3 linked regions of the Oryzias latipes genome follow. The protein of the gene in region 3 interacts with the protein of the main gene of each other region in a biochemical or structural test. Links are inferred from orthologs where the notes say so. Each region holds a gene or a part of one and is shown on either strand. Other genes may lie near its edges.

Region 1 (4,268 bases), on a different chromosome or scaffold from region 3:
TGCCTTCCACGAGTGACACCCGAGTCTTTCTACCACCCGAGCTGAAGCTGAACTCCTCTACGCCTCCAAAGAACTCCTGCCACGTCAAAGCTAAGATCCAGAGCTGCCTTCATCTTACATATCCTCCATCCTGCTGACGATCTGCTCCATCTAGTCCCACGACGCTCCACGCCTCAAGATCCGCTGGCTCCTACAAAATAAAACCAGTTACTTTCCCTTTCACTTACCTGCCTCCTCCTCCTTCCGGGTTACAGCATCTGGGTTTGTCACGTGATCCGATCATGACATATTTCAAGCACCAGTTGCTCCAACTGCTGCTTGGTTCAGGGATATTTTAGAATGTCCCTCATTATTTCTTTGCGGCAGTGTAGACGCTACTCAGCGTCTATCTTCTTCACTGGTATGTGTGCTCAGCAAGGCAGTTTTGTGTTTGAGCGCACCCAAGTTGTGTTTTACTGTAACTTCAGAAGCTCCAGACACGTGTGCAAAAGCGCCATTCTCATTGGTCGAATAGATTTCGACGCGACGTGTCAAACCAAAAAGAAAAACGAACCCGAGGCGTTTTTTCGCCTCGGGTGACGCTTTGACGCGTGGCGTTTTTTCGCGTCGGTATGCACACTCACATTTGTGCCTTTTGTTTAGTCACGAGGCGTTAAACGTCGGCGAAGATCGCGGGTGAAATTCGTCCCGGTGTGAACAGGCCTTAAGGGTCACAAACTCTCCAAAGCAACAGATTTGGAGAGGAGGATCAGAACAGGCTGAGATAAAGACAAGCTGGCTAATCGTTCAGATTTAAATTTTTCTTATGCCTCCACTAACAGAGAAAATACAAAACCTCATCTTGATTTGCCGAGTGGGTGACTTGTGTTGTGGTCTGCAGACTTAGTTGTGGGTGGTTATCGAGTCAAGAGGCTCAGTGAGTGATTGGAGCTGGCTGCACCTCTATGCATTCATGATGGGGTGGGCTCTGGTGAGTACGCAGAGTGAAGAAGTGGCTGTGTGATGATGGGAAAGTTTGACCATTGTGAGAATATAGGGATCATTGGATGTACTGATTGTCCAAAAAAAAAAAAATCCCCCCTTTTCTGTCCCAGGACGGATGCCCTTCGCAACTTTTCACAAATCTGCATCCAACCTCACCTCTGTACATTAATCGCTTCTTTCATCTCAGTTTCTTCATTATATCTTTAATCTTTTTTTTCATCCCAAAACGAGGCTTTCCTCCTCCCCCCCCCTCCACTCCACTGTTACTCTGAAAACTGGAAAATCAGGACAGTTCAGCAGTGGAGGGGTTAAGATGGAGGCAGCCTTGTGATTGGCTGGCGGCCGGCGGTCTGATCCATCCTACAGAGAGAAGTAACCAGGCAACCTCAGTGAGGGAGAGGAAAGAAGAGGGGCCGGAGGACTGGGGAGTAAAAGTGAAAAGGAGGTGCTGAAAGGAGCGGGGTTCTAGTTTGGGAAGGAGTGTGTGAAGATGGAGGGTCGCCTGGAGACGCTCTCCCCGGGATGGGAGACGGGATTACTCTGTGTGGATGTCTGAGGAAAGCAGAGGAGCTGCGCTACAAGACGGGATTCTTAAACCTTTTTCTCGAAATGGGAACTAAGTCTGACCAGTTTCTCTGCAGCGCAAAGGTGAGTGGAAATGTGCGCAACAGCCGGCAGCGTCTGCGCAGACGGTGGGAGCATGCGGCGGACTTTGGCGCCACAGTTTCAGCCTGTGGATTCTGTCCTCTGCATGAATGATCTGCTGCTGGTGCTGCGTCAGGATGTGACCCCCCCCCCCCTCCACCTCACTAGGAGCAGTGGTCGGGGGCAGTTATGTGGGGGGGTGTTTGTTTTGTTCGGCGGGAGGACAGGAGGGGTTTGCCGCATTTGAGTGTGGAGGGACGCGGCGCCCCTCCCTGAGAGGACTGTTTAACCCTTTTCTGGCAGAGCGGAACCCTCCTGACTTATTGTTAGGGGCCTCGGACCCCAGCGGAAGAGGCATCCATCACCAGGGGCCACAGAGGCCCCCCGTCTGTGACTAAACACATTTGACACTTTCCTTCTGGTTTGTGTTGTTCTATGACCCAATAAAGTTCCTAAAAAGCTGAACGCATTGCCGCGTCCTGCATGCGTGATCTGCGGGCTCTCTGCAGCTCCTCAGTCAGTGGGAGTGAAGTGGAGTGGACCGTGGAACCACGGAGGTTGATGGAGCGTGGATCTGCAGTCAGTGGGATGCAGCAGCCTCTCCGTTACTAGATGGAGAGGGCAGCCCTGGAGCTCTGAGGGCCCCAACCAAGGAAGGACCGGCACCTTCCTCCTTGCAGTTTCTGAACTCCTGTTGTTTCTCTGATGGCTGCTGTTTTCAGAAGAGAACTTGTTTGTTCTTTTAGCTATGGTGTCATTTCAAGTTAATCCAATTTCAGATTGAATCCTTTTTGCAACTTTTCTACAGTTTTGCTGAACAGACTGGTGCCTTCATGGACCAGCTCACTTTAAGTTGTACTAGAAACCTACAGACTATTGCTCAGGAATTCAAAGGAAACACTGTTGGAGGCTCTCTTTCTGACTCTCTCACCTTCATTTCTCATGTCTGTCTGGTGCCTCTATGGTAGAGGCCTGAAACGTAGTTTACCCAGGGGGCACTGCAGGCAGGGGTCTGTGTGAAGCTGGGCCACATGGGAGATAAAAAAAAAACATCTGTATTAACAGTTTGAATTATTTCTTCTGAACATGAAGTGTCCTGAGAGCACTGATTTGGATTATTGCCTCTGAACGTGGCTTCTCTTGCCTCCAGACTTGGCAGCACTTCTCACATATCTGAGCCACATTTGGTTTGACAGAGGAAACAGCTGAGCTCCTCAATATGATCATGGCAGGTCTAGATCTACACTTGGATTACTGAAGCTCAAGGTGAAGAAGAAGTTTTTGCATAAATATGTTCTCCCAAAAAGGAACACGGTCGGCTTCATCCTTTGGGAAACTCAAAATAGCTGGGAGAAAATCCTCCCAAAAATTGTCCAGGCTTGTCTACTTCTGTACTCTCCCTCCTGAGATTGGCTTGGAGGTCCAAGCTGTATTGCAGCTCTATGAGCTCCATTTGAAGCACAGGAGGGGCATCTTGCACGTTAAAGGTGAGGGGTTCTGGGATGGCGAATGCTAAAAAGGTTGACAGCTGTCTCGCGGTTCATTACACTCTGGGCTGTTGTGGTAAGCAAGGAATACATGAAACTGCAGAAATCTTTAATTCCGAAAGGGTAATTGAAGTTTATTCTGGCATTGAGAGCTTGTTTTGTGTACTTGTTAGATGAGTGTGTTTACACTTAAAAATAAAACTCTCAGTTTTCCCTGAGGACAGTCCGGTCCCGCTTAGATTGGTCCAGCCGATTCAGCTCATTGGCTTTTGGTGCTATGAACAAAGCATTAAATGTGGTTGGAGAACACAGAAAGCCCACAACCCAACGCTGCTGCATTGGTGGGAATTGGGGATTCTACTAGCCGAAAACTATCAGTCCTTTTGAGGGATGGCTGACAGCAATCTGGTTGAGTGGACCTCTGATTGGGGGAGAGAGGTCCACTGCCCTCGTGGGCCGCATTTTATTATACTTCGAGCCACAAAAAGAAGTGCTGTGGGCCATAACTGGGCAGCTGTGGACGATCAACAACTTGAATGTAGTGTGACTGTGACACAAACTCTGACAGAGAATAAAGAACAAAGAAAACAACCAAGGACCAAACTGAAGGGCTCAATCCTTATCCTCCAATATTTGTAAATTATGGTAGAAAATAAGTATTTGGTCAATAACAAAAGGTTATCTCAATACTTTGTTACATACCTTTGTTGGCAATGACAGCATTCAAACCTTTTCTCTAAGTCTTCTAAATGTTTTCACAAACTGTCGTTGGTATTCTGGCAAGATTTATTCTTAACTACATTTATCTGCAGTGCTGCAGCGATTCATTTTAACAACGATTAATTTGTGGTCACTGATCTGATTCAGAATCAATATTTGTTCATTTTGATCGATTGTCTGACCTAAATGGATCCAGAACGTGTTTGTCCAAACTTCAGACAGAAATTCCTGCTACTGAACAGTGAAGTTTTCCAGATTCTTGGATTTCTTCCAGATCATCAAATGTAAATGAAATCTGTGTCCAAACAAACAAGTAAACTAGAATGAATGTCAAATCCATTCACATGTTAGTTTCCTAAAGTTCACCACTGTTGTTTTTCCACATCCAAAGAATCCCTGGTGTTTTCCAATATCTATTATAATCTATTTATT
Region 2 (3,152 bases), on a different chromosome or scaffold from region 3:
TGAACTTCCTCGTTTGTCCTCCAGGTGGCCGATCACATCCACCTGAACCCTCCCGTCTTCTTCTTTCCCCATTTCCTGTCTCCGTACGCTCGGCGCGCCAGGAGCATCCGCTCCCTGTTCCAAGATCCCTTCCACAACTTCCAGAGTCTGTTCTCCCCCATGATGGGGAGGAACTTCTTTGACTCCATGATGGACATGAGCAGCGACCCTGTCCCGAATGAGGGTGGGTGATGTGTTGTTTGCATATAATATTTGCCCTGGCTGAAATTTCTCTCCAAACTATGTGTTCCTGTGGACAGCAGATGGCGACGTGAACGAGGACGTGGTGGTCACCAAACCTTTTGGCAACGGCAGGATGACCTGCAGAGAGATTCGCCGCAACTCAGCCGGTTGCATCAAATTCCGCAACGAGTGCGAGAAGTGCAAAGAGATCCAGCATCTGGGTGAGAGGGCTGACCCCACACGGCGGCGGTGGTTCTAAAGCGCGGAAGTTCTCCAACGCTTTTCCTGTCCGCAGACTGTGACGGGAAGAAACCTCTGGAGGGCCCGCTGAAGGAAGAGCTGGAGGAGGCTCTGGCCACGGCCGAGCGCTTCACGCAGCAGTACACCAGCCTCCTGCAGAGGATGGAGGAGCAGCTGTTCAACACCTCCTCCATCCTGGACATGTTCAACAAGCAGTTCGGCTGGGTGTCAACTCTGGCCAACAGCACCAAAGACGGCCTTTTCCGAGTCAAGGCGGTGCGTAGTCTGGTGATTCCCATAGACGGAATTAACAAACCGGGAACGATTCTAGAGAATTCTTGTTTATATATCTGATTAAGCTCGTCAGTCAAACCTTTTGAAATCATGGAAGGATGTCTATGTTTAGCTGAACTTTGGTCATGTTTACCATAAATATATAGTACCTATAAAAAGCAGTTTTTATGACTTTTTTACTCCAAAATACTTTAAAATTGATGATTTTTCTTTACTTAAAAGGATTTTAAACCCATAAAACTGCTTAAAAGGATGCAGTGTGTCGACCAAATGGGTACATATTTAATTAACATAATTATATCTATAATTTACGGGTTGACAAAATTGGATTGGAGGCGAATTATCCTATGATGTGTGAATTTGAACCTGTCTTTGTCCTTGTTTATCCAGAACAGATATAAAAAAAAACTAACTACTGCACCTTAAGGATTGTTAGATTTCCAAAATTGACCTAAACTTGATGTCGTGGCCAGTGTTTAATGGTTCCTGCAGTGAACTCATCAGTGCCTCCTGGCTGTTCTGCAGGTGATAAGCAGAGACTCACCCACGGAGGAGAAGCCTGCAGAAACCAGTGTGGAGGTGCAGCTCTTCGACTCCCCGCCCATGACGTTCACAGTTCCGGGCGAGATCCCCTGGACCGACCCCAAGTTCTCTGAGGTGGTGGCTCAGGAGGCTCTGGACCGCTACAAAGAAATCAGCGTGTGAGTGCCGAAGCCTGCACTCAGAAATACAGGTTTCTCTCCTCTGGGTAACTCAGAATGGTTTGTTCCTCCTCAGGGTTGTCAAATAAACTGGGTTTAAACCAAAAACCCGAAGCTTCTCGCTGACCAGAGAATGTTTCGACCTCAAGCAGACAGCAAGCTCACCCGGAGACAAACCCTGACGCCTCCTGCTCCTCCTCAAGCCCTGCTTCTGCAAACACTCTGGAACCCTCTCATAGGTTTTATTCCTTTAGTCCTGCTGTGAGGCGCTGTGCTCTTTAGCTGCCAACGGGAAGGCCTCCTGAAACAGGGAAAACACTGCAGACGTTTTTAGTGCGCACCTTTTTTTGTATTTGTTTGCATAAAATGAATTTGTTGAAGACGAGATTCTAGGTTGTAAGATTTGAGATTGTTGAAAAAGAGAAGAAACTGGAATAGTGTGTTTGTGATAATAAATGTGTTGCTTTAAGGCACTCTATTAAAAATGTCTTTTTTCCTTTTAAATAGATATGTTATGAACAGTAAAAGTGGATTTCTTTCTTGATTTTATTTTCAATAAGTAAGTTTTTTTTGTTTGACAAAAACATTTCATGCAGAAAATGACGATTTAAGAGGAATTTAATGCTTTTTAAATTTGCTTTTATTTAGTCAACCAGATAATTCCTAAAATCCTGCTCCAAATTGGTATCAATTTTCTAATGTGAAGTATGAACAGGAAATGGAGCTGGCATCGGTTCCACAGTGTTGAAGTGGGCGGGGCCAAAATGGGAACACCTCTTTCAGTCTGAAGGGGTTAAAAAACTGGAGCGAGCAGTAAAAAGTAGAAGAAAAATGTTCAGAATGACCTGTTGGCAGCTTTTACTCTGAAAGTACAACATTCTTTTGTGGCCCTTTGGGGACAAAGTTCTAGTACATTTGGACTTTCATACAACTCCAATAATTGATTACGTATAACAAAAAATATATTTTCTAGCCTGACATTGGACTCCAGTGGGAAAAAAGGATGCAGGTAATTATTTCTTTTGCATCTTAGTCGTTTTACCCGAAGCAAATAAACGTTTATACACTTTGTTTGGAACGTCCTATTGCATTTGGTGCAAATGTCAGTTAATGCGACGGATCATATCTGTTTTGCCTTTGAAACATTGAAATATAACATAATAATGAAAGAATCAGTGTTATATAAAAATAAATCTAATGCAACAAATCAAAGTTATTCAAGCAATAATTAGGTCATCATAACCTTCATCTTTAGTTCCCTCTTCTTCTTTTTGAATCTGGCAACCAGCCTGTTTATAAAGTAGCATCAGCATTGGAAAACAAATAAAAAAATATTGGCTAAAATTGACAAAATATTACATTTATATATTTTTTAAAACAATGAACCCACCCCAGGGGAGTTATGCAGATCTGTAGCCCCTCATTTGAGGCCTGCAGCTCCACGGTAGCTTCTGATGAAACAGGAATATCAGCTTTTTACCTTACCTTTGGTTTTCTTCATCCATCCTACCAAAAGCCTCTCAGAACCAAAGCTGCAAATATCCCATAAGGTTCTTTTACATGATTTTATGGTTTGGGGGCTCCAAATTTACTTTATTATGATTTTATAGTACGAGGTCCTGTATGTGAGAACTGGACTGAGTGACTCCTCCCCCTGGTGTTCTGAGTACCCGCTGGTTCCAAGTGGCCAAAATC
Region 3 (3,652 bases):
GTAGCAAGACCACAATAAACTCAAAGACACCAAACAGATTTGATGGGCAAAACCAAAAAGAATCCCCAGTTTTGTGTGTTGAGAGAATATATTTTGAGTCCTGTTGCATTAAAGCTATACACCTGCTAATGCCCCAACACTTACTTAAAATAGAGACCTTGGCACCACACAGCTGACTGCGAAGGGGGACAGCTTTTAGCAGCTTTGCTTCATTTGAAACCACATCCTGACATCTAAAAAGCAGGATTTTCAACTGACCTGTTTAAAGGGAAACTGAAGACAAGGAAAGAGCCGGGTAGTTTAACCTTTCTGGTTGCATTCACATGCCCTGTTTGTGCTCTCCCTACTTCTAATCTGACATGCTGCCATGGAGGTGGCTAATATGCACTGATACCCAGCCGAAGGTACAATGGTTCCAGTTTAAACCAATGAGAACCACATTTCCAGACACAAGATGAGCATGCCAGAGAATGCATACATATGGAGAGGGCTGCTGAAAAAAATACAGCATGATTAGTTCAGACTAGATCAAGTTCCAAAAATTAGACCTTGGTATGTGGACATCATACCTGCCTATCAGACTGCTCTCAAGATTAGATTCTATTACATATCTACTTCCCTTCATTATGAGACAGCCACCATGGGGCCAAAAACGACCCTGTTATTATAGTATCAAAGTTTCTGATATTTTTTAGGATAACGCAAAAAATTTTGGCCTTTTAAGCGAAAGTCTACCTCAAGAATGTGTTCAAAGAACTGAGCTACTGACTGTAAGAGGTTCTTCTGCTTTGCAGTGGTTGTTTTTACAAACAGAAATAGCAGAAAATAGGACATAAAATACCTTATTTTGAATGGTATCAGTCCAGAAGATCAAACGAAGATTATAGTGAAAGTCAACCCCGACCGCGATCCCTCTGTTCTGTGAACTGATCAGAGCATGCTGACTGTTGCCGTGGATGTCGCCCATTATCAGGTCTTTGCCATTAGAAAATATCAAGGAAGGAACTCCAGCTAAAAGAAAATCAAAACACAAAGAATTGTAAGACTTATCAAATCAGAATCATGAACATTCAGTTAGAACCAAAAGTCAAAAACAAGTAATCTGGTTTACAGTAAATAGATTTTCTACGAAAAGATTAGTGTAAATTTACTAAATAAAGCTTATGGGTCATAATGAACGGAGAAGTCACTATTGGACACTACTCTCACTAAAGCTGGAGGGAAAGAGGTCAGTTAAAACTTTTCTGTAAGTGCAATACAGACAAGAGTAACTAAAACAACACTGGCCATGCAGCAATGCACCAGAGAAGAGTGTGGGCACTCGCTGCAGCCACTGACAAAAAACAGAGTTGTGTAAAGGTGGCCCCCTCTGATCATCTTTTGTAAAAACCTTCAACAGTAAAAGCATTTAAGTATAATTGCCGTTTTTAGCCACAAAAAAAACCCTGTGTTGTTTAAGGCAAAGTTTTTGTCGAGCAAAAGGAAATTCACCTCTGAGTTCTGGGCAGGACTGTTGGCGCAGAGTGAGTCTACCTTCATTTCCCATCATCCCTTTTTCTTTCCCGCTAGCTGACAGCCCCTCACAATCCAACCTAACATTACCAGTGCAACAAACACTGCAAGCAGTATCAGAGCTATCCAGCCGTACAGTTTTGAGCCAGATGACATTATTTCGCCTGCTTCTGATTCACCACAATTCAAATGACTTCAGTTTTAATCAAAAATTTTTTTAGATATGTCTTCCTCTATGAGAAAAATTCTAGAAGAACATGTAAAAAAAACTATTTTCATTTGAATAGGTCTTTAAGCTATTACACATCATCAGATGCATCATTTATGTTCTTACAGTCTGAACATAGGATATTTACAACAAAATGATGAGTGCCACTTACTCTGGATGTCAGCTCTACAGTATCTGTGCTGCTCCAGAACATAGCCCTGCAGACAGCTGCAGCGATGTGAGCCGATTCGGTCCTCACACACTTGGTCGCACTCTCCCCACATGGAGCAGTCATCAAAATCTTTACATGGTGCCATAAAAAAGTGGATTGAATGTTTAATTCAATGTACATTAATAATGTAATGGTAAGTTGGGAAATGTAATGAAAGCAAGTTACGGAAGGATTCCTACCTACACACGAGCGACTGTCATTGCCGCTGACAACATATCCAGATGGACAGGAACACGTTCCTCCATCAGGGGAAGCATGACAGCGGTGCTCACAGCTCAAAGAAGCACATCTCCAGATACCTGAACAGAGCAGAAATCAAACCGTCAATGAATATGGACGCTCAAAGTCAGCTTGAAAGAGGACGATAGGCTAACAAGCTGCATTTGTACTGACTGCAGTTGCGGCTGGCAGTGGTGTTGGTTTCATCCTCTCCATCAAGACAGTCAACTCTGCCGTCACACAACTTATCCATTGGGATACATTTTCCAGAAGATGGGCAGGGCCATTCACCCGGGTAACATTCCCGTGGGACATTATCTACAGAAAACATGAATGAATAACCCCTTTATTTTGAAGGTAAAATGAAGTTTAAAAAACAGCAGAGCTTAACATGCAATTGTTTTTGTCATTAAAAACTTTGGATTAAGTATGATTGCGATCTCAAAATCACTTAAAAGTTATCAAAGGGAGTGAAGCTGTGTCTCTGTGTGCGTTTGTTTGTGGGAAGGGGTAAATAGAGGCCTTTTGCAGCCTGTCTCCTAAAAACCCAGTCTTCACAGCCATGTGGAGGAATTCTAAAGCCCTTTGGGGGGGGGCTGGACAACCTTCTTCCACAAAGAGTCATTTGAATATCACACTTAAAAGAACGTAGGCACGAATCTTAGCAAACCAACCAAGGGGACTACAGATGGATCAGGTTTCCACAGCTCAAGCTTTTACTTTTTTTAGTGGTATTTAACCACCGGATTATCTGAGATTTTCTAATCCCAAAATATGCAACGTAAGCACTTCATTTGAACTTCTCCATCCTTACCACAGCCTTTTTCATCTGCGTTGTCTTCACAGTCGTCTTCTCCATCACAAAGCCAAACTTGGTGGATGCAACGACCACTAGGGCAGGTAAAATAGTTCCCTTTGCATGTGGGATATGCTGTTTAGAAAAAACCACAATAACAGTTTGTTTTTCTACTTGGTGAGAAACAGGTCATTATGGATATGGTGGAGTAAAGCAGATCAGCACGAACTGCAGTTGAGCTCATCGCTGCGGTCTCCACAGTCATCATCGTGGTCACAGACGTAGCGTTGAGGAATACACAGTCCATTTTGACACTGAAACATTCCCGCATTGCAGTGCTGTGCTAAAGAAAACAAAACAGAGGGTTTATCTAGGGGTGAGTTTATGCCTTTAGTTGTATTCAATGAGTATAAAAGGCTATTGCGTAAGATTGATCAACTGCTTACTGCAATTGGCCTCATCCGAGCCGTCACGGCAGTCAAGTACATGGTCACACCGCTGTGTCCGGTCGTAGCAGGCCCCATTAGTGCACCTCAGTTGTGTACATTCAGGGTAATCTGTAAGATTAACCCATCATCAGTCCAATGTTAAGCACTCAAATCAGCCTGACAACTGTGCTCTTCTCCGCTTTTACCAAGAAAAGGGGTTTCTGAAAGGGAAGGATGTGAGACTAAAACCTGAAAGA

Evidence for each region.
Region 1: the proteins of lrp2 (region 3) and dab1 form a complex in vitro, tested with the Homo sapiens proteins (2 studies listed by BioGRID). The link is inferred for Oryzias latipes from reciprocal best matches to the Homo sapiens genes LRP2 and DAB1.
Region 2: the proteins of lrp2 (region 3) and clusterin form a complex in vitro, tested with the Homo sapiens proteins (3 studies listed by BioGRID). The link is inferred for Oryzias latipes from reciprocal best matches to the Homo sapiens genes LRP2 and CLU.

Annotation. Positions count from the first base shown.
Region 1 is NC_019862.2:3,647,164-3,651,431, reverse strand, and holds the start of dab1 (disabled homolog 1), read left to right. Parts: upstream 1-1,371; 5' UTR 1,372-1,632; intron 1,633-4,268. UniProt on the Homo sapiens protein: Signaling adapter of the reelin-mediated signaling pathway, which regulates the migration and differentiation of postmitotic neurons during brain development.
Region 2 is NC_019882.2:19,519,621-19,522,772, reverse strand, and holds the end of clusterin, read left to right. Parts: intron 1-24; coding exon 25-223; intron 224-299; coding exon 300-443; intron 444-517; coding exon 518-738; intron 739-1,281; coding exon 1,282-1,457; intron 1,458-1,533; coding exon 1,534-1,546; 3' UTR 1,547-2,528; downstream 2,529-3,152.
Region 3 is NC_019879.2:21,664,427-21,668,078, forward strand, and holds part of lrp2 (low-density lipoprotein receptor-related protein 2), read right to left. Parts: intron 3,525-3,652; coding exon 3,414-3,524; intron 3,311-3,413; coding exon 3,197-3,310; intron 3,103-3,196; coding exon 2,986-3,102; intron 2,490-2,985; coding exon 2,346-2,489; intron 2,252-2,345; coding exon 2,132-2,251; intron 2,022-2,131; coding exon 1,893-2,021; intron 1,012-1,892; coding exon 842-1,011; intron 1-841. UniProt on the Homo sapiens protein: Multiligand endocytic receptor. Acts together with CUBN to mediate endocytosis of high-density lipoproteins. Mediates receptor-mediated uptake of polybasic drugs such as aprotinin, aminoglycosides and polymyxin B.